3 linked regions of the Neurospora crassa OR74A genome follow. The protein of the gene in region 3 interacts with the protein of the main gene of each other region in a pairwise test. Links are inferred from orthologs where the notes say so. Each region holds a gene or a part of one and is shown on either strand. Other genes may lie near its edges. The genes, in order: NCU00018, NCU06856 and NCU09813.

What was found.
Region 1: the proteins of NCU09813 (region 3) and NCU00018 interact in binary tests that used the Saccharomyces cerevisiae proteins (3 or more experiments, as listed by UniProt). The link is inferred for Neurospora crassa OR74A from reciprocal best matches to the Saccharomyces cerevisiae genes SMT3 and CDC48.
Region 2: the proteins of NCU09813 (region 3) and NCU06856 interact in binary tests that used the Saccharomyces cerevisiae proteins (3 or more experiments, as listed by UniProt). The link is inferred for Neurospora crassa OR74A from reciprocal best matches to the Saccharomyces cerevisiae genes SMT3 and UFD1.

Annotation. Positions count from the first base shown.
Region 1 is NC_026503.1:2,300,791-2,311,557, reverse strand, and holds NCU00018 (cell division control protein Cdc48), read right to left. Parts: upstream 5,454-10,767; 5' UTR 5,024-5,453; coding exon 4,968-5,023; intron 4,876-4,967; coding exon 4,848-4,875; intron 4,782-4,847; coding exon 4,726-4,781; intron 4,672-4,725; coding exon 4,422-4,671; intron 4,356-4,421; coding exon 2,864-4,355; intron 2,805-2,863; coding exon 2,212-2,804; 3' UTR 1,732-2,211; downstream 1-1,731. UniProt on the Saccharomyces cerevisiae protein: ATP-dependent chaperone which probably uses the energy provided by ATP hydrolysis to generate mechanical force to unfold substrate proteins, disassemble protein complexes, and disaggregate protein aggregates.
Region 2 is NC_026502.1:1,739,904-1,750,225, forward strand, and holds NCU06856 (ubiquitin fusion degradation protein), read right to left. Parts: upstream 4,650-10,322; 5' UTR 4,432-4,649; coding exon 4,429-4,431; intron 4,340-4,428; coding exon 3,194-4,339; 3' UTR 2,911-3,193; downstream 1-2,910. Other genes in the region: NCU06857 (hypothetical protein), read right to left, coding at 1-1,895; NCU06855 (hypothetical protein), read left to right, coding at 5,195-6,697; NCU06854 (RuvB-like helicase 2), read right to left, coding at 7,086-8,295, 8,371-8,597, 8,674-8,682; NCU06853 (hypothetical protein), read left to right, coding at 10,277-10,322. UniProt on the Saccharomyces cerevisiae protein: Functions at a post-ubiquitation step in the ubiquitin fusion degradation (UFD) pathway. Has a role in the endoplasmic reticulum-associated degradation (ERAD) pathway.
Region 3 is NC_026501.1:4,129,963-4,139,778, forward strand, and holds NCU09813 (SMT3, variant 2), read right to left. Parts: upstream 6,474-9,816; 5' UTR 6,287-6,473; exon of another isoform or gene 6,069-6,286; 5' UTR 6,032-6,068; coding exon 5,792-6,031; intron 5,660-5,791; coding exon 5,600-5,659; 3' UTR 5,057-5,599; downstream 1-5,056. Other genes in the region: NCU09812 (LIM domain-containing protein), read left to right, coding at 1,538-1,625, 1,718-4,464; NCU16378 (DUF1903 domain-containing protein), read left to right, coding at 7,242-7,244, 7,340-7,387, 7,468-7,480, 7,551-7,723; NCU09814 (hypothetical protein), read left to right, coding at 8,545-8,559, 8,635-8,698, 8,766-9,816. UniProt on the Saccharomyces cerevisiae protein: Not known; suppressor of MIF2 mutations.

The sequences.
Region 1 (10,767 bases), on a different chromosome or scaffold from region 3:
ACTAGCCAGTAGCTGGTCGATATCAATCAGATGACTACCTAATATAAGATACTCAGCATGTATGAGTTTTTACCCTCTTGTTTGTTTCCAGTTATGCCTAACATAACTGAAGTTGTCGTCGATCAATGGGGTTATTGAGAAACAATGGACCAGAAGAAATGTCAAACAATCATGGACACGGTCTATCGTTCCATGATACGGATGTCGACTACTCTTGAATTCTTCGGAACGAACACCTTGTATGTGTCTCAACCGTCCCACAACGAAAAGTCTTCACTACATAGTCGTAGATGTCAAGTACACATTTATACGCTCCGCGGCTTCAGATTTGCCTTGAGCAAACGAATGAATGCCGTCCCTGACGAAACGGGAGAAGGTCCAACCAGCATATTGGGAAAAAAAAAAAAGAAAAAAAAGACAGTCTCACTGAGAAGTACATTGCCAGGTTGACATTGTGGGTACCTAGGTATGCTTCGTTTTCATGTTTGAGTTCTCAAGGATCGGCCCCGGCCTCAGGCACTTTTGAGTTTGGAGTACAGTGCTGTTTGAGAGGGTAAGGCACCCGGACTTGATGATGAGGATTGAGAAAATCGTTTGTAGGGCGTAGTAAATTCGAAATTTTCTCGACTATAGCTCTCTTTCTCTTTGGGGTCTTTTAATGTCTGTCGACCACAATAATAACATGTGTGTTGTTGTTTTTGCTTGAAGTTATTGTTGACAGTGGCAATATTCTCAACAGGTTGTAAAAAAAAAAAAAAAAAAAAAAAAAAAAAAAATAAAAAAAAAACCCGGCAGTTTCTTCCCGGCCCCTTCTGGCTGCAGTGTACCTACTAAATCGTGTGGAATTTCTTAATCATTTATACTAGTATTTTTGGTGACTGAATATATCCCGGGTACAACTTCCCATCCGTTCGCTCCTTCCCTAATCCATCAACATGCACATCTGCCACCAAAGGGTATGCAACACCTCCCGTCTAACGTTGGCCGAGACTTTGAGCCACCCTTCTCGAAAAAGGTCAACGGCTTTCTCTTTTTTTTTTTTTTTTTTTTTTTTTATCATTTTTTCCCTGCCGTCGATGCCGCGCCTAAACGGCTCTATATGCAAACCCAAAACTCAACTGCACAAATCATCCTTCCACTGGCGGTTCGAGTGTCCCGCGCCCTCTCATCCCTCAGCCTATTCAGTTCTGCCAGACCTGCATTAGGAAATGCGGACGGGGTTCAGTAGAGTTTTCCGTCAGTCCTTAGACCCGAAGTATCTTGGATGAGGCACATTGGTAGTCAGTCTCCTGGCAGTTTCGAAGGGCTCACTATCCGCAGAAGGGACGATCCTGCTTTTGATACCACTCCTTCCGACTCTGGAAGACTTGTTCCTTCCTTGCTCCTTCACTTTTTGGGGTAATGCTTCAATTTCTCATGCTCCATCTGGTTGGGCTTGTTATGTTCAGCCTTACGCCTCCTCTTCATCAGTCCGTCGGCCAGATGCAACTACGGCGGAAGAGATTAATGGATAGATCACAGGCAACGTACATGCTCAATAGTCGACATTATCTACCATCAATTATGGAAGGAAGACTGCCCGGCCTTGCTGTTGCCAAAAGTAGATTCTCCCTCGTCGAGCATCGCGGGTCGGGAGAAAACTGCACATGTACCTTTCACAATGTGGGATACAACTCCAGCACTGATCACTACAAGTGGCTCGCCCACTAGTCAGCCGTCGATTTTGTAGACATGACAAGTAGGCTTGGGAAGACGGTTGAGAATGAATTTGAGAAACTTGGTGCAACCTGAGAAGGGAGTAAAAAACGAGCCGCACGTTGACATCAGTTTAGGGTCACTGTTCCTATCTTCATAACCGAATTTGGAGGCAGTTGCATGGTGGAACCAAGTCAAACACAAAGCCAGCGAGGTTGACGAAAACATAAGTCATGGCCTGCATGATTTTCTCTCAGTCACCAAATCCGAATGCCAAACAATCGCTGAGGGTACCGCTGTTATGTGGAATCTTATAAGTCACATCGTTTGTGCCCAATTGCTCTGAATCGACCCTGGATGGGCCAAACAAAAGAGACTATGCAAAGACATTGTCAATCAACTTTGAAGGAATACCTCGTCAACTCCTATCCTTTGAGCGCATATTAACATACATGTAGAGCCCCAAGGCTAGCGGAAGACTGCTCTAATACTGTGAGTCTTGAATCCCTCCCCCATCTAGTTGTAAAGATCATCATCGTTGCCAGCATCACCAAACGAGTTACCAGCACCGCCGTTGCCGCTGCTCTCAACACCACCCTCAGGGAATTTGAAGAAGGCACCCGGGCCGGCGTTCTTCATCTGCTGGGAGAAAGCCTCATAGCGACGGATTTCGACGTCACTGACGGAGCGACGAGCCATCGACATGGCCTCCTCGAAGTGGCGCTTGGTGAGCTCAGGAACGGGGTCCTCAACCTCATCCTCCATCTCGACATCCTCGCCAGCGGCCTCGCGCTCCTTAGTGCGCTGAATATCGGCGGTGATAGACTCCTTGATGGCGATCTTGACAGCACGCTGGGTGATGAAGCCAAGATCGGCACCAGAGAAGCCGTGGGTCTTGGAAGCGATGTAGTTCAGGTCAACATCGGCAGCGACAGGGGTCTTGCGGAGCTGAGCCTTGAGAATACCGAGACGACCCGCCTCATCAGGAAGGGGAACGTAGATGAGGGAGTCGAGACGGCCGGGACGGCAGAGCGCTGGGTCGAGCTGCTCGGGACGGTTGGTAGCACCAATAACGAAAACATTCTTCTTGGAGGTCATGCCGTCCATTTCTATAGCTCAGGTTAGTATGCACAGCAGAATGGCACAAACCAAGGAAGAATCAACTTACCGGTAAGAAGCTGGTTAACAACACGGTCAGAAGCGCCACCAGCATCACCAACAGAGCCACCACGGGCCTTGGCGATAGAATCCAACTCGTCGAGGAAGACGACGCAAGGAGCAGCAGCGCGAGCCTTGTCGAAGATATCACGGATGTTGCTCTCAGACTCACCGAACCACATGGAAAGCAGTTCGGGACCCTTGACGGAAATGAAGTTGGCTGCGCACTCGTTGGCAACAGCCTTGGCCAACATTGTCTTACCGGTACCAGGAGGACCGTAGAAAAGAACACCGCGAGATGGCGAAAGGCCAAACTTGAGGAACTTTTCGGGATGGTCGACGGGGTACTGGACACTCTCCCTGAGCTCCTGCTTGACAGTCTCGAGACCACCGATATCCTCCCAGCGGACGTTGGGAACCTCGACAACGGCAACCTCGCGAAGAGCCGAGGGGTTGGAGACACCGAGAGCAAAGCGGAAGTTCTCTTGGGTAACACCAAGAGAGTCAAGGACCTCGGCGTCGATAGTGTCTTCGTCCAGATCGATGAGATCCATCTTCTCACGAATCTGCTGCATGGCAGCCTCGGAGCAGAGGGCAGCAATATCAGAACCAACGTAACCGTGGGTCTCAGCAGCAATCTGCTCGAGATCGACGTCATCGGCAAGCTTCATGTTCTTGGTGTGGATCTGGAGAATCTCAAGACGACCGGTAGGGTCGGGGATGCCGATATCGACCTCGCGATCGAAACGGCCGAAACGACGGAGAGCGGGATCGATCGAGTTGGGACGGTTGGTGGCAGCCATAACAACAACGTTGGAACGGGCCTTCATACCATCCATGAGAGTAAGGAGCTGGGAGACGACGCGGCGCTCAACCTCGCCGTTGGTCTTCTCACGCTTGGGGGCGATCGAGTCGATCTCATCAATGAAGATGATAGCGGGCGAGTTCTTCTCAGCCTCCTCGAAAGCCTTGCGCAAATTCGACTCGGATTCACCGGCCATCTTGGACATGATCTCGGGGCCGTTGATCAAGAAGAAAAAGGCACCAGTCTCGTTGGCAACAGCGCGAGCCATCAAAGTCTTACCGGTACCAGGAGGGCCATAAAGCAGGACACCACGGGGCGGCTTGATACCAATGGACTTGAAAAGCTGAGGATGCCTGAGGGGCAGCTCAACCATTTCGCGGATCTGAGCCATCTGCTTACGGCAACCACCAATATCATCGTAACCAACCTCGTTGAGGTTGTTCTCCTCCTCGTCACGCTGGATGGGCTCGCCCTCGCAGTGGATGACGGTATCCTGAGCGACAATACCGTACTCTGGTGGGTCCACCTCGACGACCTTGAACTCGACTTGCCTCATACCACCGCGGACAATAAAGAGATCGCCTTGCCTGACAGGGCGGTAGGCCTCGCGGAAGTAGGGAGCAAGGAAGACGTCGAAGAGAGATCCGGTGATGCCCTCAACGGTATCGGCGATCGGGAGGACGGCAATACGCTTGGCCTACAAGGAGATGCTGTGTCAGCAAGGTGCCCATTCTATGACTAGGTGACCGGGTTATAGACTAACATATTTGATATCGGGACAAGGGTGAATGGTGATGATGTCGCCGTGCTTGACACGGAGGTTGTGGCGAACGACACGGTTGAGGCGTGCGCTGCCATCGTCAAGATCGTCATCGGCAAGAACAATCAAGACGGTGTCCTTTCTCTTCTTTCCGCGGACGAGAACGGTATCACCACGGAAGAGCTGGAGCTGCTCCATGGTGTTGTTGGAGAGGGCGATAATCGAGTTATCATCGTTGACGGCGTCAGTAACCCTGCATATGTGTTAGCTCAGGTTGCAGTGCCCCGCATCTTCAACGTCAACCTACATCAACTGGTTGGGCTTCTTCTTCTTCTTGAGAATAGCAGTGGCGGTATCATCTTCCTGTTCCATCGGTCAGCACGAGTGGTTCTCGAGATGTCTTTGGCGGGCAAGCGAGGTTGAACATACGGCCTTGTGCTCGGCACCAGAAGCGTCCCTGTTTGGCTTCAAGTCAGCTTGGCGTCATTCGCGATGAGGGGGCGCGACAGCTTCGAGAGCTCCCGCGATCAGCGTCGCTGCTTCACGTACATCAAGTTGACCTTCTTCTTCTGCTCGACGTGGTCGGGATTAGGTTCGGGAGCCATCTTGACGTTTGTGTTGGAATCAGTAGAATAAATGTGGTATTTGGGTATCGCGGACGGTGATGCTAATCCACGGAGAGGATGTAGCGGGAAGAAGTGGTTTTGGAGAAAAAGAAACCAGAATTCGTAGCCTCAAGACCCGCTGATAAAGGGATTCTTTGGAGGTTGGACGGCGAGGTGAAGGTGAATGGTGTTGGGATGGAAACAAAAAAAAGGACCAGTCGGAGGGACGAAGTGCCTTTGCGTTTTGGTGTTGGAGTTGGTTTCGTTTACGTTCAGGTTGTCACGGCCAGGCATGGAAAGGACGGTTCGAGCCAAAGCAAGCAAGCAAGCAAGCACCGCTGCGCCGGCGAGTGGCACCGACCGCTTGCTCCCTCCAAGGCCAGCCAACCAGGGGCAAGCAGCTGGTGGCCAGCAGCTGGGGAGCGGCAACAGCAACAGCGGGCATCTGATTCAACTGTCAGTGTCACTGACTGACAAACCGCCCCGCCAGGCGACCATTTGGATGACGAAGTATGAGCGGAGCCTTTTCTGGGGCGACAAAGGTCCGTGCTTTTCGCCCATAGGTACACTTCCATTCTGCCACTCTGTCTGCTTCCATGCCCTGGCTGTTCCGGGCTCCAGGCACGCCTTCTGCCATCGCTCCGAGGATCTTCAGGTCGCCCGACACACCTGGTAAAGCAACGGTGCGGCCGGAACCTTCGAATGCGTTCTACAAAGCTGCTGACAGATCAAAGCTTCATCTTGTTTGACTTGGGGTTCGTTCCATTTCTTCAGTTCGAGATTTACAGTGAATCGAGGTTCGGATGCTGCAGCACCGCTCGAGCACCGATGTCCAGATGGCCAGGCTGTCAGGTCTCTCCAAGGAAGCGAGACATGCTGCCCTGGGATTTCCTATTTGCCCCTCCCCCGCAGTACGGACAACAAGGCGGTCAGTGGTTGTCGCATGCACCACCGGATGGCCTGTACAGAGGCCACAGGCCAACGATGCTGCTAGGTAGGTATCACAGAAAACGAAATGGAACAGGACAACACGCGGAAAGTTGGCAGGCTGCAACTGTCGTCTTATCGAGATTCGAGAGAGTCCGTTTGTCCGGACGTCGCAGGAACCCGCATGCCACTTTGGGTGGAGCAAGCGAGTGACAAGAGCAAACGACGACCCTCGACCCGACCGAGAACCGGGTCCTCAGGGGTTGTAGGACACGTCCCCGCCCGTGCTTATACGAGGCGCGCGCCGGCCATACGGCTCCGCCCCGGCACGCCGATACCCAGTACGTCCCGGAGTCTCTCCCCGGACTGCTCGGCGCCCGGCTGGAAGAAGGCGGGGCTAGAAGCCAGGGAGCTCGGTACCCTTGTAACGTACTACATACATACACTACAGTAGTGTAGTACCATGGGTGTTAGCTACCCCGCTGTACATGGTGACCCCAAAGACGCTGCGGCGCGCCGCCCACCTGGCCATTCAGAGTCCAAAGGGACCTCAAGGTCCCATAGTCCAATGCCTCCACGATCCGGATCCGATATACCGTTACTACCTACTGTACAACACGCATTGAGCCAGAATGGGGCTGGAGCTCGGAGGGTGTGGCATTTCCTTTCAGGCAACAGACTAACAATCAAACCAGCCTCGACTTCAACGACGTTCACTCTCGTGGAGTCAGTGTGAGCAAGGCTTGGCAGTTTTCCGGGCACAGCTCGTTAGACATGAGGACTACCTATATTCAGTCAACTACACCCGGCCCTCTGCCTTCCAACCCAACTTGCCCCTACCCACCCCAGTCACGAGGTACCCGGGAGCCTGATTGAGTTCTAATACTCTTGCTAAAGATAGGACTTCGTCAAACTCAGGACAAGATCACCCTTGTGTCCCTCTGTCAACGGATTTGAGCTCAGAATATCACCGAGGCAGCGTCGATATGGAAGACGTGACAACATTCAACACCAACTGACTTTAGCTAAATAACGAAGGCTTTAGAGACGTATCTACTGCAAAGTTAGGTAAGGAAGCGCAACGCGCTCTGGATTTGTTGATGGATATGTATGTGAAGCCCATTCCCTCGGTGTCACGTCCAGGACGAACAGCCAAACATGTTGAGTTCACTGATAGTAGAGGCGTGGACTCAACCGAACGTTTGACGTTCCTATTATCTACAGAACCTTGGCTCTGTACATCGGCTCGCCTTGCCCCATCCCTCCTGCCTCGAGCCTCGTTCACCTCGTCACTACATCACATTTCAATATTAGTAGGTTCTGGTACATTTGAATTTCCATCCCCTTATCTCCGCCCCTTCGAAACCAAGTAAGGTACCAATCCTCTCTCGCCTTTTAGCAAACATGAAGTCAAATTCTGCTGCCTGCTCTGCTGCTGTTTTGTAGCCATTCGATGGACTTCAATGGCCCCATGAGCGCCGTTCTTGTCTGATATCACAGTTTTAAAAAGGCAGAGGGGCTGAATGATTTCTACTGACTGATCGGATGTAACTACGTCCGGTCTGTGGCGTATGGGGATCTGATGCCAATTTGGCTCGCTTGGATGAGACACTAGGGCGACGAGGACTGAATCGTACGAGTGGCAAGATGGGATTACGCCTTCCGTGCCAGCATGGACGTCGAATGTTCGCACGTGTGACTATACTTGGGCTAGTAATGTAAGCTATGCCTTGCTCCAGGGGTAGAAGTAGAAGCTAGGCACCGTAGAGGTAGGGTAAGGTATAGTATGAGTAGAATGAAAGGGTGTAGTGGTAAAGTGGTGATGGACACCAATTCGAGCTCGCTGTTGAAGATTGACATGTTTGTTGATTGGATTTACTCAAGTACAGGAGACGGGGAAAGGGATGGTACGTATGATGTATGAGCGCATGCCTGTGACACGGCTCTGTTTTCTCCAAATGCTCTGCCTAATATATCCAGAGACGACCTTGGTCTGCTCTTCATGTGCATGTCAGTAAGAACAGTTCTAGGTAGGTTGTCAGACATTCAGCTGAGTTAACGCCACACAAGTGTCCTGCCTCTCTCTCTCTCTCTTTCTCTGATTGTTATGTAGACGTCTTAATGTTCTCAATGGGTTAGGGAATAGAAAGGGACACTACCGATTTCACCTGGCTGCCTTGAGCCATCGAGACTGGCTTTCAAATGGAAAGTATCAAATGCTGGTGGTCTCATTCTACCTTGAATTTCTTTGGGAGAAGAGATGGAAGCTTTCTTTAAGGACCGCGTCCGGCATCACTTCAAAGTTTCTCGTCATCTCCCGTTGCCAAATCATCTCTCCCCTAGACGCGCGCTTAAATTCAAGAGGTATATGCAAAAGAGCACGTTTTCGTGAGAATGAGTGGGTGTATTGATGTACTTTGCCCTATCACGACATCAAGTAAGTAGTATGTGGGCGTTTTTAGTATGTAGGATGTTCACCCAGTTCGGCAACGGCAGCCCTATGGCGTCTATTCTGGTCGGACTAAAATTATCTTGCTCCCTTTGTGGATATCAGACGCGCGTATGTGTGTTCAGGAGCCTAGCAGGTTGTGGGAAATGGTGAAAGGGTTGTATAGAGATGGGGAAAACGTGAGTGGTTGCACGGTGGGTGAGTGGAAAGAAAAAAAGTCCGAGGTGCTCGCACTTCAACACAAGTGGGACTGGGACAGGACCAGTCTTTCTACTCCCGCGTGGTGCCGAAAACATACTATATGTACAGTAAATTCAAAGCTACGCTATCAATTTTGCCAATCAGCCAAAGAGCCCGCCATTCCGTCAGCAGAATAGTATCGCTCCTGACCAGGTTTGGCGGTGTGGGGCAGGGCGAGACGAATGTCGTGTGAAGGCTGAACCTGCTCAGAATGAAGAGCTTGGGGAGGAATGATGGTCGCGGCACGTAACTGTACGAGTAGTTTTTGTGTTGTCATTGGGGGTGTAGTTCACATTCATGTTGCCATAAAGGAAGGCTGTTCCCATCTGATTTTGCTTTGCTGGAGCTTGCTAGTGGTTCGAAGCTGCCGTCCCGCATAGCGATGATGGACCGTCAAAGGAGGGGGAGAGAGTTGTGTTGGCACAAGGCAATCGCTTTCAGCCTCAAAACACTTCACGGGGCATCTACCCACCGTCAAAACAGAGTTATGCCCCCAAATCGGACTTGAATTATGCGTAAAGCTGAGGCCGTTTCGGGCCTAGTGAGTCGTTCAATTTCTTTCGCGATGAAATTCGACAGATATCTTGCTTCCAGGCAAGCCTTGTATGTTTCGAGGAAAAATTAGAGAATTAGATGGCCGCCTGTGTCTCATCTTCGAGAATGTTTTCCAGATCATTCAGCGTTATCCAACCTTTGTAGGAAATGGTGCTTGATGGCATGGCCTTTGAGTCAGACTGTCAGTAACTAGACAATGTGGTGTCTCTAGACCAAACTGAGAGATATCTTCACTTCATGTTCCATATAGAGGAACCTTAAACTGCTGCGGTTGCTGAACGGAGACAATGAAGACACTGGTGGACGAGGATGGAACTCGTAGACGGAGTGGCTCGGAAGACGGAACACGAAATACGGAGGGGCGGTGTGGCTAACAGTGCCGATTCACCGGAGGGGGGCTTTGACGTGACACTGCTGCCGTCACTGTGACCACTCAGCCGGGTTCAGACGCAGAATCAAAGCAAAACTTATGAGAAAGAAGGCGAGTTGTGGTAGTGCTGCCCAGTGGGACGGCTTGCTTCTAAGGGACTCACGTATGTAACCATGATAAGCGTACTTCAATCAGATGGAAAGCCGTATAACCCAGTGCCTGCACCACGTTGGACAAAGGGCGCGTTACGCAGCCTGCCGCGTAGTTTAAGCAGAACCGTGCATTAAGGTTGCATGGTCTCATCTGTCGACAAGTTTGAAGTACGACGGTGCTGGAAGTCGGGCGGGACAGATACTGGACCAATATCCAAGAGACAGATTGGATAACAGCCGGGTCATCACAACTCTGTCATGCCTGGTGGTATAATTTCTCTCACGTCAGTTTGCGAGGATCTGTTAACCGTAAAATCTATCAAGGCGAGCATGGAACTGTCATCCTGTTTGCTCTGTTTACAGTCGTTAGTAGCTTGATACTTAACGTTCACGGCAGCTTGTGTTGAAGGTTGGTAGATGTTGACTGGCGCTTGATGTGGCCGGGCCAACAGGGTACTCATGGCCTGTGTACGTGGTTAATGCATGGGGAGAATAGTGACAAAGCTAAGAATCTCACCTTTCGAAAGATCATGCGCAGATTCAATAAGGAAGAGGTGGGGGGTCAACCAATAGTGTGATGTACCAATATGGGAGAGATGCTATCGTGGATGCGCGGACCGGGAAACAGGAATGACTCTTACGCTAAAGATGGTAGAACCACCTTGCTTCGCTAATGTTTCGGTGTTATAAACCCTGCTAACGAAACATAGAAATAACCTACTTTCAGTTATCTCCTTGGATCTGAAGACCGCTGGTGTCCACGTTCAGAAACTGAAAGTGGCACTGGCAAGTTGTGTTGAGGGAGGTGAGTGAGTTGCTGTTTCCCCACATAGCCCTAGAGATAGAGACAGCTCTTGTGTGGTGCGCTTAGCTGTTAATGATGAGTGTTAGTGAAGCCTAGAGACAAACAGCATTTGTGCTAACTCTGTTGTTAGAGATCGCAGCATAAGCGCTTAACACCCATATTTGGCCCGAGCCCCCGGCAGTCAGCAACCCTTGCTTTGATCTCATGGGTTGATGGTCAACCCCTCAACAGGGCTGTGAGAGTGAC
Region 2 (10,322 bases), on a different chromosome or scaffold from region 3:
CTGGGGTCTGAGTCGTTGTAGAATTCATGGTGGTTGTATGTTTTCAGATCTACGCTCAGCGTTTGCAAGTGTGGACAGGCAGTGCCCAGGACAGTGAGGAAACTCAAGCTGAGGGACTGGTTATGCTTTAGATAGAGATGTTCAAGATGGTAGGCACGGGTCAGAAGGTATTCCGAAAAATCATCGGCAGTGATTTCCCAGCAGTTGACGAGCTCCAGCGTCTTCAAGGTTTTGGGAAGAAGACGGAGCAAGTAGTCGTTTGCAATAGTGGAGGATTCGATAGACAGATACTCCAGTTGGGGAAGAACGTTAATGGCATGGGCAAACTCGCTGATCAAGAAGTTTTCGAACCCTTCATCTTCTTGGACAACGGCTGGCCAGTTATGCAGGGGCATCGAAGGAACCTGGAAGTTCTGAAGGCAAAGTTTCTTGAGCTTTGAAAAAGCCGGAGTTTGGTGAATGATGGCAGGACTTTGCAAAGTCATGTCGGGGGTCATCAACCTTCCGTTCCATCTCCAGGCCTCGAGTTCGAGCGGCTTGTGCTTGGTTCCCGGAGGGTCGCCGCCGTTGAGGAAGTTCCACAATGCAGTTGGATATTTCCATCTGAGGCTCGCTTCAAGAGATCGGAATGGGGCATCGTCCTTTGCATGGAAGAAGTCGATAGACATGAGCTGTGGGACATTGGTGAAAAGGGCTTCCCAGTCGAGATGTTGCCCTTTATAAGTCTTGGAAGCAATCTCCTCAACATCGATGCGCAACTTTTTTACTTTCCACCTGTAGCGATACTTCATCTTTGAGGGATCCGAGGACAAGAGCGCCACGAGTCCATGTGCCATTTTCCGCGTGAGCAAGGGGGGAGAGTAATACAAGGCCGTCAGGGCTGGTTCCGCAAGTTCCCTGCACAGACGGCTCGCAGATAAGAGAAGGTTGACAGCATCTCGATCACGCTCAGCGGATGCAAACTTGAAAATCAAGAGCCAGAGCTCATAGGGAAGATGTTGCCATGGAGGGATGACTTTGGGTTCCTTTTCGGCAGTGTCTTTTTCGGCACCGCCAGAGTGGACAAGGTCCAATTTAGATTTCCTGAACGAAGCGGGCGTGCGTCTCTTAGTGGCAGTCGCCGGCGTGTCTCTTCTTCTCTTTCGCTCTGGGGTACGTGGAACTGACGATTTCCTGGCTCTGGCTACGGATGTGGCCGTTGCTCTGCCCCTGCGAGGAGTGGGGGGACTTTCCTGGTCGGTGTTGACAATGTCGTCATCTTCTCCGTCGGTGTCTTCATGGAAGAAGCCGGACCGGGGACGGCGCCGTTTTCCTAGCGCCTGGCGACCGGAGGAGGCAACTGCTCGTGACTTATTGTTGAGCTCGGTCCGAGATGGACGCCCCCGTCTTGATATGGCGGACCTGCGTGCGGGTTGCCGTGCATCTTGTTCTCCGTCATCATCATCTTCTTCTTCTTCTTCGCTGTCGCTTTCATCAGACGTAGTAGAGGCACTGTCGCTATCGTCGGAAGAGTCTTCACGATAGTTGATGGACGACTTACGCGGGCGAATATTGTGATTTGTAGTGCTGGTGTTGTTGTCATCACCTCTACGGCCGTTGATCGAACGACGTGGACCACCACCACCACTGTTCCGGGCTGCCCCTGCTGCTGAATCCCCGCTGCGAGCGCTTCGTCTTAGTGGGCTCGCTGGGCCCAGATTTGATGTCGCACCGCGGCCGATTGCAACACCAACAGCGGCTCCCACAGCACCACCCCCCTGACTCCCGGCTCGGCGTGGCCGCAGACTACGGCCACCACCCACTGCCGCCGCTACTTCTAACGCCTCCGTCGCCGATAATGCAGATGATCTAGTACGGCTTCGCGCCGAAGCCCGCCGGGCCTCCACCTTGGACATGGCTACTAGCTGTGCTGTTCAGCAAGCGGCATCGAGTGGTGCGAAAGGGTTTGTTTGCAATTGATTGTTTGTTTGTGGATATGTACGAGTAGCAAAGAAAGAATATGGCAAGGTGCATCCAGCAAGGTTGCAGTCAGTTTGTTTTGTTGCCTTGGTGTTGTTTAAAGAAGACGGATGGTTGCGAGTCGGAAGATGGCTTCGGTTTGCGACTGATGATGAATGGTCCGGTCGCAGTGAGCACAGAACCAGTCCGGAACAGGAAGTGGTCAACCCTGTCAGTCAATCAATAAATGCCCTGGAAGTGGGAGGCGCTTTGGGTTTGCTTGCTCACTGTGCGGAAGTGCTAAACCGACAATGCCGTTCGATTTCGTCCCTTTTCAACCAATCACGGGACCCAGCCAGCCTGCTGCACGACCCACATTAGCTAATCAAGGACTTATCTCAAATGATGCGACCGACCGAGTTCTTGGAAGTGCAACTGGGAAAAGCCAAAAAACCGCTGGTACTAAACTAACATCAGAACTCAATGTCATGCTGTTGATGTTGTCGACTATATTCGTTCCAAGCATCGTTGACATATGACTAATCTTTAAGGATGCAAAATTCTGGAAGGAGAGACCTCGAAGTGGATGCAGGCAGAACTCCGGACCTTCCTGGCATGACACTGACAAAGCGACTGCTCAAGATAAAGACAAGACGGACCAAGCCGCTCTCGATGCACCGTCCACAATGAGGAAAAAAAAGAAAAAAAACCAGGGACTCTTTGTATCATGTCCATCTTGCACCAAAGTCAAATTCCGGCATTTCAAGGGATCAAAAAGAGAACAAAAAGAAAAAAAAAATTTAAAATTTTTTTTTTTTTTTTTAAATAAATTGGTGACGCCGCAGCATACTATGCTGGCAAAAGAAAAGATAACTCGATCCACCCAGGGGTCGAACCTGGAACCTCCTGATTCGTAGTCAGACGCTCTGCCATTGAGCCAGCGGACCTTGTTGAACATCACCTTGGCATGTTCCAGCTATAGGAGGACATCGAGGTATCATTTCCTTTTTCACTAATTCTAGTCAGCTGCATGGGCCTATGTAAACATCGTGCGGTTCAGCACTCAACATCCCATATACAGCCCTTTTCTATCTTGAAACGCATCGTGGCCTGTCCATGTGTATTCGTAATGACGCTACAAACGTTCCGTGATCCCTTGACTGTGAACCTCCCTTTCCCATGACCCTGTTTCCCATTAACGCCCGACAATGCATCAAACCATCTAGTAACAAGCTTGTTGAACGAAAGTTTGTCCCTAGACATTCCTGCCGTCAAGTCGCCTTCCCTTGCTCTCTGTCGGCTTCTTCTCGCCTTGCGCCGCCTTGTCGTCACCATCGCTGCTCTTCTTCTTCGGGACTCCTCCCCGGAGCGTCTGTCCCTGGCCCGCAAAGTGCGGCTGCTTCGCCGCCGCCGCCTCCCTCTCCTTATCTGCGGCAGTTTTGACAGGCTTGATCTCGTAGCCCAAGAAGAGCTTGTTGGGCGGCAGACGCAACGGCAACGGGCCGTTGTTGTTTTTCCTCCTGGGCAGCACCACGTCCTTAACGTTGGTCGACGTACCCGCCACCGGCGTCGCCGGCTTCGGTGTTCCCGTCTTGCTACCCTTCTTCGCCGCCAACCGCAGACCCTCACCTTGAAAGTTGCCCACCGACGTGGTGGTGGCTCCTGGTGCGATGGCATCGTAGTTGATAGCCTGCGCCATGGTTCCCTGGTTGTGCAAAAGACCACCCGCCGGAAGTCCTCCGCCAACAGCCCTTCCGTTGCGTGGTGTGCTGGTACCACTGCCTTGTGTCTGTCGCGAAGGCTCGACGTAGCCAACTGGCGGCGCAAAATCGACGCTGACGTCTGTCTCGATCATGCAGACACCCATCTTGGCCGTCTCCGGCTTGACGTCCAGTACCGCCATTTCGTAGATCTCATCGTTGTACTCAAAGTTGAAAACGTCGCCCTTGGTCAGCGCCGCAAAGTTCCGGAAGGCCTTTTCGAGGACGGCACGAGGGTCGCTGATGTCGAGGAAGTTGACCGATTGCGGTTGGAGCTTGACAAGCCTGGCAAGCTCGAGAGATGTCGTCTTGATCTGAATCATGTCGCCCACGTCGAGCTTGAGGGTCTGCATCATCCACTGCGGGATGTAGGCCCTGCCCTCCTCAGCCACGAACTCCAGAACACCGGCGTGTGTGTGGGTGCCCTGCGAGCCGTTGATAAGCTCTAGCATGATGGGCCATTGGACGTGTAGTCGCGAAACCTTGTCGAGAGCGGAGGGCGGGAGCAGAATCTTGGAGCCGTAGTTGAGTTCAGGTCGTTCGGCACCGGGCGCCATGACAAGGGGGTAGCAGCGGTAGTACTCATCGAAGCGTTGCGCGCCCCGAGAGCGACCAGTGGCGCGACTGTAGATGTCTCCATACTGTCATGGGCACATGTTAGAATGTTTCAAGAGATAGAGGGGTCGAAAAGCTGTCTTGATAATCGAGCGTGAGGACAAGGATAGCTTACCATGATCGCGAGGGAGCTGCTAGAGATGGAGTAAAGTATTTTGCAGAAAGGGAAACGACAGGGAATTTGTATTAAGAGGGGAGATCTCGAGGTAAGCTTCGCAGAATAGGTAGTGGGATCCGGAACAGCAGAGCGTGACAAGCGATAGTGAAAGGGAGGTTGCGACGATGTTGAAATAACCTGACCGCGTGGAAGGTTCCAAAGGCAACAACGCAGATGACATAACTGGGCCCGAAAGTTACAGGCACGTTAGGTAATAATTGGAGCCCTGGCATGGGTACCGTACAGTACCTACCTCTATGTATCTGCCGCCTCGGCGGCCCGGATTGGCGGGGTGAGAAGGTGCCGCCGTGGCGTCAGATCTGTGAAACCGTGCTGCCGTGGCGCGAGCTCCCCCCCTTCTTAAACGCTTAGGTCAAAGGTACCTTGAGCGCTGCCTGTCCACTGCAGAACGCTCTGGACCTTGATGGCAGTGGAGAGCTCCATGTTATCCGTTGGGGCTGACAACGGGTAAGGTACCTCTAGTGATGTTCTTCCTTGATATTCCCAATTCGCCATCTAGATCCTCTCTTAAACACCATCCTCTACTTGTAGAGTTGTCATTCGCCGTCGACCCAGGCAAAACAGTCATCATTTCAGGCCATATCTACACAAAGTCTGCGATACAGGGGCAGAATAGGCCATTCTATCAAGACGACATAACCTTTACACGCTGACGTCAACGCCTACACACCAACACACGAGATTGAAGACAACAGCCACCACCATGTCCTCCCGCTTCTCCGCCGCGCGCCCCAAACGCGCCAGCGAAGCTTACGCCCGCGCCCACCACGGCGAATCGCGCTCCAACGACGACGACGACACCTCCAGCGGGCCGTCCCACAAAAAAGTCAAGTTCGACGTGCGCAACCCCTCCGCGCTCGCGCCCTCAGCGCACGATGACGACCTCGACGAAGCTGACGAGGAGGTTCTTGCCGCCGACGTGATCGGTGGGCTTTCCCGAGCCACCAAGCGCGGCGCGGTCAACATCGATGGGTACGATTCCGATTCCGACAATGACAACCTGGAAGACCGCGCGGAAGCCCGAGGGAAGAGCCGCAAGAAGGGCAAAGACGCCGAGGACGTGGATCTGGCCGAGATGATGGATAATTACAACAAGCCTTCCAACGGGGCAGGGAAAGATGCCGATGAAGATGACGAGGTAGACATGTTTGGCGATTTGGAAGACGACGACGGTGCTCAACCAACGACAGCCGGTGGTGGCTCTGCGAAGGACAAAAAATCCGTCCACTTCCTCGCCGACTCGGAAATCGAAGGGCAAGACCTCTCTTCCAAAGCTGGCGGAACCATCAACATCAACCCCGCCGCCTCAGCCGAATCGGACGACGAAGACGAAGACGACGACGACGAAGAAGCCATAGCAGCCGCCATCGCCGAAGAGGGAGTAGACGAAGAGGTCGGCCTAGGCGGACTGAAGAAACATGCGCCCAAGATTGACGCCTTCAACATGCAAGCCGAGAATGAAGAGGGTGCCTTTGACGAGGCGGGCAACTACATCCGCAAAGCGGCCGACCAAAATGCCGTGCACGATAAGTGGCTGGAAGGCTTGTCCAAAAAGGAAATCAAAAAAGCGGCGTTGGCGCACGAGAAGCGCGAGGCGGAAAGGCGCGCGCAGGAGAGGGAAGATGACAAGATCGCCACTGGGGACTTGCTTAGAAACTTGATCCTGACGCTCGAAAAAGGGGAGACGGCGCTGGAGGCGCTGGCAAGACTTGGAAAAGATCAAACCAAGGGGCCCAAGAAGGTGCCCAAGTGGAAGCAAAAGAGGCAGGAAAGGAAACAGGGCATCGATTCGATGGACGTGGATGACAAGAAGGAGGAAGTGGAGGATCCGAAGCAGAAAAAGATCAGGGAGGCGATTGATGCCATTACTGAGGCGGCGGATAAGTTGTTGGGAAGGGATTATCCGGATATTTACGATAAGGAGAGGGAGTGGTTGGTGAGAGAGTATAGAGCAGAGACGGGCGAGACCTGGGTGGAGCCTACTGTTCCTGAAAAGGAGGAAGAGCAGCCATCGTCACTAAACGGACAACCCAAAATGTGGGAGTTTAGGTGGACAGATGGGAGAGACGGAGGAGGAAGCCAAGGGCCGTATGACGGGCCCACCATGAAGGCATGGCAGGATGCGGGATACTTCAAGGAGGCGGTTGAGTTCAGGCCGGTGGGCGGAGGGGAGGGGGAGTGGTCTAGGGTTGCAGCCTTCGTATGATCATCATGGTTAGGTTTTGTACGATTGTGTGTGATAGTATACCCCCGGTTCCAAGCGACGAGAGAATCAAAAGCCTTATCACCATGCTGGGAACTCCTCAGCAGCTGGTCGTCATTCGTCCCTACTATGCCCTTTCCTGCTACCCCACGCTTCGACTTTGATTCGATTCGTTGTATGATACAAACGGATATTTGCAGACTCCATGCCATCACCATAATCAGTAACATGACAAAAAACCACGACTAGGCACACATAAAGCTTAAGAAAACAGTGTTATCATAACAAAGACGCCTTTTTGATGAGCCATCCCAATTAAACGCCTAGACGAAACAAAATCATAACCCCAAGATTATTCATTAATCCTTGTAGCGCATTGTCCCATGACTGTTTAGCTGCTGGTATCCATGCTATCACCACCAGCCGCAGTAGCCGCTGGCTCTCCCGTAGCACCGCCATTGACACGGAAATCGACCACGCCATCACTGCCGATGAGCCTCTTCTCCGATTCCTGCACGAACTTGACGCTCCTGGCAGGATCGTAGAACAGCTTGAAGCTGCGCTGGACGTCCTCAACGCCGACCTGCTTGGCCTTCCTCTTGGCGCAGATTAGCTGCGACGTCGTGATGAGGTTGCTCGCATACCGGAGGCCGGCCTCGGCGCCGATCTTGGTGAGCAGGGCGAGCGCGTCGGGGGTAAGGTCGACTTCCTCCTCCTGAGCGCGAATCGTGAGAATCTGTCTGAGCTCGTCGGGCGTGTACGAGTGCGTGTTGATGATGGAAATGCGGTCGAGGAAGTCGAGCGGCAGGCCGTGGGGGCTCTTGTAGTCGGTGCCGCGGATCTTGGAGTGGCCCCGGTTGCTGGCCATGATGACGATGGGGGCCAGGTCGGACTCGAGTGCGCGGTTGATGTACGAGAAGCACTCGATGTCGAGCATGTGCACCTCGTCGATGAACAGAACACCGGGCACAATCTCGGCCTTGCCTTCTTCCTTCCACTCGGCCACCTTGGTGTTGATCTGGTCGCGGATCTCGCTGCGGATCTCGCCCGTGTCGCCCGAGAAGAGGGCGAGGAAGCCTTGGGTCCTCGAGTTGATGACGTCGATCTCGTGCAGCGTTACTGTGTGGACGACCTCCTTGCGCTTCTGTAGCTCGCCATCGGGGCATTGCAGGAACTTGGTGTCGACGCCCATGGCATCGTAGTCGCGCGACCTTGCGTACGATCGGCCCAGCTTGGTAATCTTTCCAGATGACTTGTCTATCGAGATAATGTCGCCGGCCATGACGCGCTCCTTGGTCATAGCATCGATCATCTTGCTGCCCATGTCGTAAATAGCTTCCATGTCGGTCGTCTTGATCGTAAGCTTGCCCTGCTTGGCGTGGCCGGTAACGCTCCGGTCGATCTGAATCTCCACCACCTCACCCTCCATGATCTCACTCTCTTCCTTGATCCTGACACCAATCGACTTGCGGAATGCTTGGGTGAGGGCCTCGGTCTTGGACATCTCTAGAGAGTAGATTTCGGAAGCGGCAAGGGTGGTGAAAGGGACGTCGGTGCCGAGGGACTGGGCCATACCCATGGCCAGAGCAGTCTTTCCCGTACTGTTGTTTTTCCATAGCTAGGTCAGTACACGAAACGGTATGCGCATGAGGACTGGCACAGCAAGACGAGCTAACCTGGGCGGACCGGCGATCAGCACAGCACGGCCGGCAATTTTCCCTTGCTTAATCATCTCAAGAACGACAGCAGCCGCCTTACGCGCCTTCTCCTGGCCGACAAGGCCTTGGGAGGCAACCCTGGGCTCGAGTGTATCGGCATCGACGCCCAACCCGCGGATGTGCGAGTGCGCTGCGATGAGGTTGAGACCCCGGAGGTCCTTACTCTCTCCGACGGTAACGACCTGCTATGGCATGGGCACAAGAGGTCAGCTGGTGTTCCGTCAAGGTATTGTGATGTTGGGGGGTAGGTGGGGAGCTTACAGCAGCCATATTGCCCACTGATTTGCAAGATATTAATATTGAATATGCCGATTGACGTTACAGAATTTTCCAAGAAAGGTCGCTTGGATTTGGGTATCACGGTGGGTGGGTGGTGATGGATTAGTTTGCAGGTGGATGCAGGGATGGTTTGGCAGTGAATGATGGAATGTGCTTGAAAAAGAGCGAGAAGTACGACGACGGAAGTTCAAAGCTGCAGTGCGCGTCGCCGCGCGCTGTGATGGAACTTTGCAGCGACTTCTCCAATTGCGTGCATGGGTAGACAGGCCGGGGCCTCCAGCGAGTGGTTTGTTACCGAGTTTACGTAACAATACGTCGACTTACACGCCACTGTGGCTGAGGATCCAAACGGTGACAGAGAAGGGCGGAGACTTGAAGGAACTGAAGACAGTCCTCGGACTTGTGCCGGCGGGTGGGACTGAACCTTCCCGGGCGCGGCCCTGGGGGTCCCACAAGGCCCCGGATTTTAGACCCACATCGGAATTCGATTGATTGAGCTGATCATCACAACACAAAGCCTCTTTGTCCAGCAGTCAATTTGGAAAGAGAACTAAGCAAGTCGGACGACCTGTTTATATACAGATGGAAGTTCTTTGAAAAGGCAACAGTGTTGGCAGGGGTTCGTGACTCGGATGCAAAAGGGAAGAAGATGCAAACATGCAAAATAAACATGGACGCAAGTAAGTAGTGTAGGTAGGTACGCTACTCACTGGGACCTGAAGCTAGAAGCGGCCCTCAGGGGATTCTTGGGTCAGGAGACTATATGTGAGGCATGCTGTCATCCTCCTCAACCCAGGCTAAGTGTAGAGGGACATAGGGTACCAATGCAGTGGATGTTTGATTGGAGCGAGAATGAAAGAGCTGAAGGAAATAGTAATACAACTTGAAGATATCAATAAGATAAATGTGACGTTCGGCCAGTCATACCTACATACTATGACTGGCCATTGAAGGGACAGAATGACAAGGGTCCGTAGCGCCTTCCTTGAGTGTACAGGAGAAGTTTTGTGACCTGGGAGTGGAAGAGCTGCAAATCTGCAACTCTGCTACCTTGGGCTCATTCATAGTAGTTCCCCAGAAATATTTAAACCAATTTCCCCACCCAAATGGCAGACACTTTCCTCTTTTTTTTTTTCCCCTCTCTCTTCTCCCTAGGACATCTTCGACGATTGTAAACCTGGCGTTCCGGAATGCATTCAGAACTATTAGTTCGACTGTCCATTTAGACAAGGAACAGAAAAATACATCAGCTTGTTGTATCTTTGTGCGGCAAGCCCTAGTCTGATCTCATTCCCGTCTGGAGGAGGTGCGGGGCCTCTTAAAACTTTGACTCTATCTACGCGTCTACCCGCATCGGTATCGCATTACAATCTTCAACCTACAATATTGAACATCGACACACATTTCAGGCTCAATTCCGACATTGACTGACGTCGGTCTGTACCGCTGGCACAGGTCAGCCCCACCATTGTCACAATTACACTCTCGTCTTATACCTCGCCACATATTGTCTGTTAGGCGCACGCTTGATTGCAGCGTCTCGTCTCACTGCACACCCCCATCCGTCCGCCTGGTGTCACGCACCATGTCTTCCAGGCCGCCGGACTCGTACCCGAGGCGGCCTTCCACTC
Region 3 (9,816 bases):
TGAAACGAAAATGAATCGAGAGGGATGGATGGCTTGTACTTGGTATCTCGGGAGCCATCGCAGCGAGCTTAGAAACTTTTTGCATTGACCATCAAGATCGTCGTTTACCGTCTTACACACTAATGCATGTGTACATACACTACAAGAGATTACGATTCGGCGTATCATCGCGTTCCTCGTGTGTTTGATAACTGTATAGTCTATTGGAACACCGCTGGGTCTTCACATGAATGAAAAACCAGTCGTTACTTAACAAGTGAAGTTTTGCGATCTTCCCGCAAACGTACGCAAATTAGGTATCCCGTAAACCTGTGAAATCGTGAAGCTGTGCGTGAAGGCGGAATGCCAAGTCCTTCTGACATTTCAGCTCATTGGAAGCTACGGATTCACACGAGATTCACGCCGCGCCCAAGCACACTCACTTTTCTCGAGGTACCTCTTTGGGCACGGCCCCGGGGTATTGTAGCGGGGTACGTACTGCATACAGCATGAGCACTGTACGTGCCAGCCTCAGCTCTTGAAGGGTACACAATACAGTAGTAATATTACCTCCATGGAGGCGGCCAGAAACCACGCCAGCGTCGGTGTCGAGCGTGCAGTGTTAGTTAGCCCGGTGCTCGAGCTTGGAGCCTCAAATGTCCTTCGCTCCCAACCGGGCAACAGCTGAAATAGAGGCAGGCACTTTCCATGTATCCAGCTACGCGGTCCGGGCCCGTCGCTAGGGAGTGCCCCCTTCGTCTTTCCATCTTGTTTTGACGATCAAGCCATCCTGGATATCCAATTGCACGGCAGCGAATCGCTTGGAACGGATACCGTTTAACTGTGACCAACTCCGTCAGCTCCTTACCTGTACACTACCTATTCACGGTCGTCCACCTCCTACACTAGATGTCTGGACACATCACATTAGATTGACCTAGATTATTTCTTTTGTTGTTCTTATTTCCAGCATCGCCCAGGCAGTCAATTCTTTGGGTGTCTCCTTCGTTGTCAACATCGTCTCGTCACGAAACAGGCTTGAGGTCTACGAATCGAAAAGTCATTGTTCCCTTCCTTGCCTTCCACTTGTTTCTTTGCATTGAGACGGGGCTGGGACGAGGTGGGTAGGCACAATCAACGAGAGACAACAACAACACCAACAACTACAAACAGGAACAACAACAACAACTACTACTACTACTACTACTACAAACAGGAACAGCATCATACATCACAACAGACACAGCAGGCGTCGTCTTTGATAACCGTGATTTCGGTACTTCTACATACAACCTATAAGCAGCAGAGACCAATTCCGCCTACTGTGTAGAGTCCTTGACTCCTTTTTAACCGACTTGTCCGGCGCTCCACCTTCCCAGCCAGGGACTTCCCAAGGCTCACTCCGCTTCTGACAGCCGTCGACCACCAACCCTTTCCTTCACCGTCTCTATTTCTCCACTCTTAACCATCATTGACGATCAACATCCCGCCATTCCAATAAATAAGAAGAGATAGGGCTGCAAAACACCTTCGTGAAGGGGGTCACCTCTCGCCCGCCATGTTTGCCCGGAGTAACTCGAGCGAGCGTGCTTCGCCCAAAAAGGCCACTCCGCCGTCGCCTTCTTATATGAGCAGCGAGCAATTTGGTACGCCGTTCTTCCCGACTATCTCCTAGGTGCTAGGTGGGGGTGTGGACGTGTTTGATGGCCTGTCTCGCACTAACACAAACACCATCCAGCCGCATATCTTAAAGATCTACGCGCCAGTCGACTTAACAGGCCTGGTGGTGCACGTCCACTGCCCGCTTCGAAACGCGATACTTCTTGTACTACTGCTGCCAGTCCCTCGCCTAGCAGCCGGTCATCTTTCACACAAGCCCCTCGCCTCTCCGAGACCGCCTCCTCTCCCATCCAAAATGGCACTTCAGAAGCGAACAATGCATCCAGCCCAACCGAGCTGTCCCCTGGCCGCAGCTCCGTGACCGCCAGCGTTGGCTCCAAGTACTCAAACGTGACCCGAGGTAGAGATTACTACCCAGACCGTCCAGCCCGGCTCTTGAAGCCATCAGAGGTGGTACCTTCTGCTACCTATATCGAACGCGGTCAGAGATGGATGGAAAAGGAGGAGGCTGTTTCTTTGCGCAAGGCTATGGAGGAGATGGATCTAAAGGGACACAGCAAGAACGCCAGTGGTGGCCCGCTGATTAGGCCGGATGTCGGCCCCGGCTCTGGGAACGATGAGGCTCCGGAGCAAACCGAGGAGGAAAGGCGTCTCTACGAAGCCGCGCTGGCCGAGGCAGCTGAGTTAGTATGGCAACACGAAAACCCCGGGAAAGAGAGACCGCCCGAGCCAGGCACCCCATATCGGTATAAGCCTCACTTGCGCAAAGACAGCTACGCCCATGCCCGCACAGCCAGCGTCAAATACGGCAGCGATGTGGCCCCCACTGGTCTAGCCAGAGATACTAGCACGTACTCAATGTCGGGAAGTTCGACGGATGGCGAAGAAGGACAAGGGTCAAGTCGAAGCCCAGTATCGCCAGCTTCAGCTCGCCCGCTGTCTTTCAGGCTGCCGGAGACACCTAGGGCGAGCCATGAGCGTGTGCGAGATGGCTCCCCAGAATCGGGTAACTCCAAGTCGTACAGCACCTTACCAGGTAGTAGCGGTTACCTACGGAGTGGTTCGAAGAAGGACATATTTGGTGAGCCCCAGAAGCCGTTCCCAGGTGACAAGATTTCGGAGGAATCAGAAGCGCGGTCATCTTCTTCTAGCCTGGATAACTTTGCACAAATCAGAACTCCTGAGCAACTGGGAGCGAAACCCAAGAACCCCCTGAATCGCGTACAGTTTGCCCCTGAAACGTCCCCGGCAGCGGATGGCGTTGCCTCGTCCCCTCCCAAAGACGGATCTAGGTACGAAAAGTATGAGATTCACCGTAATCCTGTCACCCAATCCCGCAACCCTCAGTACACCACCAACGTACGCCCCGCTTTGCCTTGGGAAAGAAAGAAACCGGTGCAGGAAGAGGTTCCTCGAAAGCACGGCATGGAAATCCGCAGCGATGAGATACGGCAAGCCACAAGCATGAAGCTGAAAGACCGCAGCGTCAAGCTACCTACGCCGTCTGCCGTCAGTGACAATCCCGGTCGACCCATCGTAAGCTTTGACAGACAATGGAAAGCTCCTGATGAGGCTGCTGATGACACGCCAGAAGGACCGTCGAGATTCGGCAAGAGTGACGACCGCTCGACGCCGCTCGTCCCTGGACGTTTCCGCAGCCAGCAGTCGCAGCAACCCCAAGAAGAGCCGCGGCAATCGCAACACCACCAACAACAACAGCAGCAGCGAGCACTCCCACAGCAACCCCAGCGACCACGACAGCAGCCGGGCTCGACGCCGAACGTCCCTGTTATCCCTGTTTCGAATGGTTTTTCAACCCCACCGTCGTCTTCGTCGCCAACAAGACGCCCACTCCCAGTCCCAACCCCACCCAGTGTTCAAATAAATGCACCGCCGCCTTCATCTTCTATCCCCTCAATATCTGTTCCCTCCATCGCTGTCTCGGAGTCAGCTTCATCATCACGATCTAACATCCCTCAGATTGTCCTCCCAGGCGGATCTCACGATGATGGACCTAGCATTCCAGTAATCGTGACGCCAGACGATAAATCCAGCACCTCCAATAGCAGCAGCTCCCGACGCCCGCTCCCCACCCCGGGAGCCGTAGGTCGACATATGCCAGCTCGGCCACGCAGCCACTGGTCACCGGCGCCCAAACCAGCAGGCAGCCGCGCCACGGCTCGCTGCCACGAGTGCGGCGACTTCATTGAAGGCCGCTTCGTCTCACTGGCCGGGATGACGGAGCGCTTCCATCCGCAGTGCTTCACATGCTACTCATGCGGCACGTCGCTCGAGGCGCTCGAGATATCTCCAGAACCGGATGAGCACCGGGCGGCGCGGCTCGAGCGCATCGCCCGGCGGACCGCAGGCGAACATCTCCCCGAAACGCCGGGCCAGACCATGGCCGAGGACGGTGATGCGCGTCTCCGGTTCTACTGCCACTTGGACTGGCACGAACTGTTCGCGCCGCGGTGCAAGCACTGCACGACGCCCATTATGGGCGAGCACGTGGTGGCGCTGGGCCACCACTGGCACTTTGGCCACTTCTTCTGCGCCGAGTGCGGGGACCCATTTGAGCGCGGCATGACGCATATCGAAAAGGACGGTTATGCGTGGTGCGTGTCGTGCCAGACAAAGCGCACCGAGCGCAGGGCGCCCAAATGTCGCAAGTGCCGGAAGGCCGTCATCGGGCAGTACATTCGGGCGCTTGGCGGCGAGTGGCACGATGAGTGTTTCCGCTGTGCCGACTGCGGCGGCGGGTTCGATGATGGACAGATATTCCCTAGGGAAGGGAGGGCCGGCACGGTGCCGGGTGAGATGGTTGTTCTTTGTACTGGATGCATGGAGAGGGAGTTAAAAGCATAGGCATACGGAAGTGGATGGGTTCTTCCACTTTTCCCAATGACGGACACAAAGAAGAGTCCAGGACAGAGTATAGGGATATAGGGGCAAAGGTCAAAGCATTGTAAGGGTGTTTTTTTTTTTCTTCCTTTTTTTTTTCTTCTGCATAGCATTGGAATCAGGATGTTCAAGTTGCTCTACATTTTCTTTTACTCAATAGTGTTTAGGGGTTCATATGTACGAGTATCGAGATACAAACAATATTATAATAATAACACATCAACACACGAAACTAGGATGTCATGGTGTGGTTATTCGGGGTTGCCTTGGACTTGTCAGCGTAGCCTACCTGATAGGCATTATGGACGTCATGGTTAAATCAGCCTTGGAAGATAAGCAAGGAGTTGACGATATCCCACAGCGCTCGGGAACGACGATCGAAGCTGGGCAAATTGGAGATGATGGTAGAGGAGAGTAAAGGCTCTGTCTACGAATATGTCACTGCAACGGGTTCACTGGCTGAGCGGGGACAGATACAACAATGTGAGTCCTTGAATTCCTAGGATAATAAACACTCGACAGCGCTCGAGAATGTGCATGGCATCATAAACGAGCACTCGCAGTATTGTTACAACATCTGGGACTGGAAAAAAGGGGGGAAGAAAGGGGGCAGAAGGCCATTTGGAAAGATGCCGTGTTTACGCTTCAAACAGAAGATAAGATGCCGGCAAAGCCAGTTGGCGTCCCGTCAAAGTATGGTATAAATAGAATCAAATCAATGTTCCTCGATACCCCTCCGCCCTATGACCCCAATGATAGCACCCTCCGAACTCCGGTTCTCCTAGGCATCACCTATGCGGCGAATAGGAACAAAAGTAGAAAAAGTGCGTGCGTCCAGTGACAATGGCAAAAGCTGTGATGTTCTCCGTAACCCCGTGTCCAATCCTGCTGTCACATTCCGAAACTCCCACCCAGTCCCTGTCCTGTTATAGAATCGGATACCACTCGCGAGCTATCTTCTGGTGATCAAGTCGCCGGTTGTCGTTCCGCTTGCTACTATGCATATGGCCGGTTGTAATTTTGTCTTTTTTGTATTTTTTTTTGTTGCCTTTTTCTTTCTCCCATCTCCTTGTAGTTGTAGTATAGGATCGCCTTTTATCTACCAGCCGCCGACCTGCTCTTGGTGAACTTCCAGGCAATCACCGTCCTGCATCTCGAGCTATATTATGGTAGCAATGGACCTGGTTAGCAAACATATTTCTGGCGTGCTCGGGTGCTTCGTCTACCATGGTGTTCCCGGGCTAGCAGCAACATCAACACAGATGTTAGGTGCATGCCAGACTTCACTTACAGTGTCCGGGGTGTCCGTGGGCTGTACGCGCTGACCCTCGAAGAGGAACCTAACCGAAGCCAGCGTCTTGCCCTGACGCTCGCAGAACGCCGTCATGAGCTTCTCGAGCTTGGTGCTGCGCTTGATCTTGAAAAAGACCTCGTTGTTGTTATCCGTCACCTTGATATTAAGGTGCTCGACGGCGGGGGCGGCGGCATCGGAGCCAGCGTTTCCACTTCCGTTCTCAGCGTTGTCCGCCATGTTGATGACTTGGGAGTTGGAGATGCTAGGCAGAAGTCTAGTCGCAAAGAAATTTCGTCAATGAAAACTGGAAGGGCCGAGTTTGAAGTGTCGATGTTCGGAAATGCTAGAGTTCCAGGCTGCGATGGAAGTCAGAAATTGCGCGCGTGTCAACGCGCCGGAGAGTCTCGTCCTGCCTGTGTTGTCGCACAACGAGATGGAGCAGAAATTGGTGGAGGAACAGCAAAATTCGAGAGGAGAAGCGGATTGTCTTACTGCAGTAGATAGGCGTATTGAAAGACGCTGTGGCAGACTTCTGGTCTTGGGAAGCGTCGAGTCAAGTAGGTCCGTGAGAATTTAGAGAAGTGGAAGGCGAGGTGCACCGGGTCAAGTCGTGCTTTTGAGGTGGAAGCGTGGTTGCGGCGAATGCAGTAAACGACGGCTGGAGGGCGGTTTGTAAGACTGCAGCAGACGCAAAGTTCAGGTGGGGCCAGCCTTGAAACACCAATATTTGTACGAAACCTTGATGCCTCCTCTCAACCTGGCCAACTTTTGTGGTAAGTTGCGCTCCTTAAGGCTCTACTGAAATGCGACACATGCGTATAATACCCGTACCTGGTCCAAAAGGTGAACATGAGACGAAAGGGCCGAGGAAGGCCAATTCGTGAAGGTGTTCATACACCGAATTGCAAGCCCACAGAACTAGGTGCCCAAGTATTTCACTGTCCGCCACTTGGCACTACTTCTAGGTCAACCATTCGAATACCAATCTTTCGCTCATCTTTGCAGACCACCCGACCTTGCGTCGCACAAGCCCTATAGTAATGAACAGTTCCTTGTAGTCCTAGTCCGCGGTTAACTGCCTGTTCCAGCGTTAGGTTGTAGTGAGGCTGGTAGAAGAATGGTACAGATAGGTTGACGCAGTGGTGGTCACCGATAAGTGTTTTCGATCCGGAGAGTTCCTGACATCATCCACCCGTTTTCCTTTACTGATAGGCGCGGCAACTGGACTGGAGAATGGGGTACCGAAGCACCGGGATTGTTTAGGTTGTGGGGATTCCAAACTTGCAGGAGGGAGATCCTCGAGCGTAGAGTCCCACTCGAAGCTCTGGCTTTTACCTTCCATTTAATGAACACCTGAGCAAAGGGTACGTCTAACTGCCAGTTCTTGACTTCTTCGCGATCCAGCTTCCAACCAGACGGAGTTCTCGACCGTTCAAATTTCGATACCATGGTGGGTTTAGGCGCAGTACCAGCTTCAGGTCTCCCCTTACAGAATGTCTCGGCTCTCCCCTGAGGCACTGCTGACCGTTCATGTTGCTTTGTTAGACATTGCAAGACGACCTCGCAGCCAGTCCGCCATGCCATCCACGCGCGGTTTGTTCCATGTTTCCCTTGTTCTTTTGTTACGGCTTGCACGCGTGGTGTGCTGACATGCGGTTCTTTCGTGCCTGCAGTGCGCGATACAAAGTGAGGATGACCAGCTTGACTCCTGTGTCGTTCAGAACTCGCAGTTTGCTGACCTCACTTCACGCCGCAGATTGCCTGACCAGAAACGGATTTGATGAGAGCAAATGCCAGAAACAGATAGACGCACTCTACGAGTGTTGCAACGCGTTTTACGAAAAGAACAGCGAAAGCGCGTCAACAGTTAGCTGCCCCAAAGCGAGCCTGCTACGGCTCAAGATGGAACAGAGAAAGAAGGCTACATGAAGGAAAACAAGAGGAGTCGAAATGTATCACTTGTCCAGATATGTCCACCTAAACGCCCGTGAAGGTGTTAGGTAACTTAAACGGAAAGTGCGGTATTCCTCTGGGCGATCCTTGAGCACGCGAGAGACCTCATGGGCCTGAACAAGAAATGATGGTCTTGTTCCGAGACTCTAATAGGAATGCCGTGGACATTGTAAGGAAAAAAAAAAGAAGAAGAAGAAAATACCAAAGAAGTTTTTGGGGTCCGTCGCTTTTTGTATCAATTTCTCACACAGGTGGAGGGGCTTGAAATTCGGGTGGGGTTCATAGGTCTTCGCCCAGGGACCCATATTCTGCCGGCCGCAGATCCCAGTCCGGCTTTTTGAGCCGCATGGAACGCGTCGTGCGGACGGCAAGCGAGTTGCTAGCGGCAGCTGGAGCTTCGACGTGTGATTGGAAATTCGTCAATGTGAATTATTACAACATGGATTACCTTTCCATACTTGGGCGTGTGTAGAACTACACTTGGACCTTTTCGCTACACAACACGAAAGCTACCTTGTGCTCCCACTACGCCTTGTAGACACAACTCCAACATTGATCTCGATCTCAGTCCCCGAGAGTGGGACGTCATCTTGCCCAGCAACCGGTCTGTCTTTCTGGAAGGAGCTTTCAACGAACAAGTGGACAAAGCACAGCATGGAATGCGATTGAAAGACAGAAGCGTCTGCCGTGCCCTACCAAGAACCCGCGACGCGCCTACCAAACAGTCATCACAACATCACGCCAATCGATCTACCCCCATTTGAACCTCGCGTATACGGTAACGACCAAGGGCGAACATGGCACCCACAGTTGTGAGCAACATCAATCCTCCGATACGCCGACGCCGCACGGCAGTGTTCATTTCTTCTAATACGCAGTTGCGGCAGGACCCTTCTGTTACCTCAGACGCGAGCTTTTCATTTGCCTCGAAAAGCGAAAGCCCAGATCTAGGTTCGATTATCGTGGAGCTTCGAATGCCCTAACAACAGCTAGCTGCTAACACTACATGCGCATCCAGGACTTATACCTCCCCCCATGGCCCAACAGCCGTCATCATACCGGCAAACCGTCATCCGAGCCGGCGATGAAGTCGAGTTTTTTTCGGGAGAGCTAGACCGCCACCTCACCGACCTCAATGGAACCACAGAAGAGAAGCGCGCCCAGGTCTTCCAGCTTATCGACTCTTACCATGCATACTCGAGGAAAAGGGCGGATCGACTCCGCGAGCGTCAGCCACGCAAACTCACCCTTCGCGAAAATGAGATGGACATCGACGATAATGAAATTGATGACCTCGCCGTAAACTTTGACGAAGAATATCGGAAGGCAGAAGAGGAGGCGCAAACTTGGGATCTTCTTCGGCGCATGCTGCCCCTGGAATATGGCCAGGACGAAACATCTCAGTTGAAACAACACACAAAACCATCCTTACAGTCACGCAACCAATGGTGGAACGATTTCATGCTGTCTGACTCTTTGGCAAGGGAACAAAAGGTCGTGCTAGAGTGGCTTCAGAGCAGTGCAAGCCAGGGACCGCCAGTAGACGACGTTGTGAGCCACCTTCAGGAAAGCGCAGAGAGGGGTGACATTCTTGCCCATGGCTGGCTTCATACTCGCACCAAGATCAAGCTGCAGAAGAGCGTGAACGGGTACCAAGGATCCCTTGACCCAAGGGCATCTGGCTTTGCCGAATCACATCTCAGCTCCAACACGCTTGTCACCCAGCTCGATCCCGATGCTATCACACGGCAGGCTCGTAAATTGGAAACCCAGGACGACTTTTTCGAGCGCGCCATTTGGTTGGGCTGCTTTGAGATGCTACGTCGTGGCTTTTCAATGGCTGAGATTCGAGATTGGTGCTCCATGAGGACGGAGCTATGGAGAGCTGCGTCTCTTACGCCCCTACCGCTTGCGAACCCAGAAGATGAGGACCAGCCGGACTTTGACCCGCGTTCGCTCGTTCTATGGAGGCGGATGTGCTTCTCTACCGCTCGGGATGGCGGAACCAGTGACTACGACCGGGCGGTCTATGGCCTGCTGGCCGGTGATATCGCGAGTGTAGAGAAGGT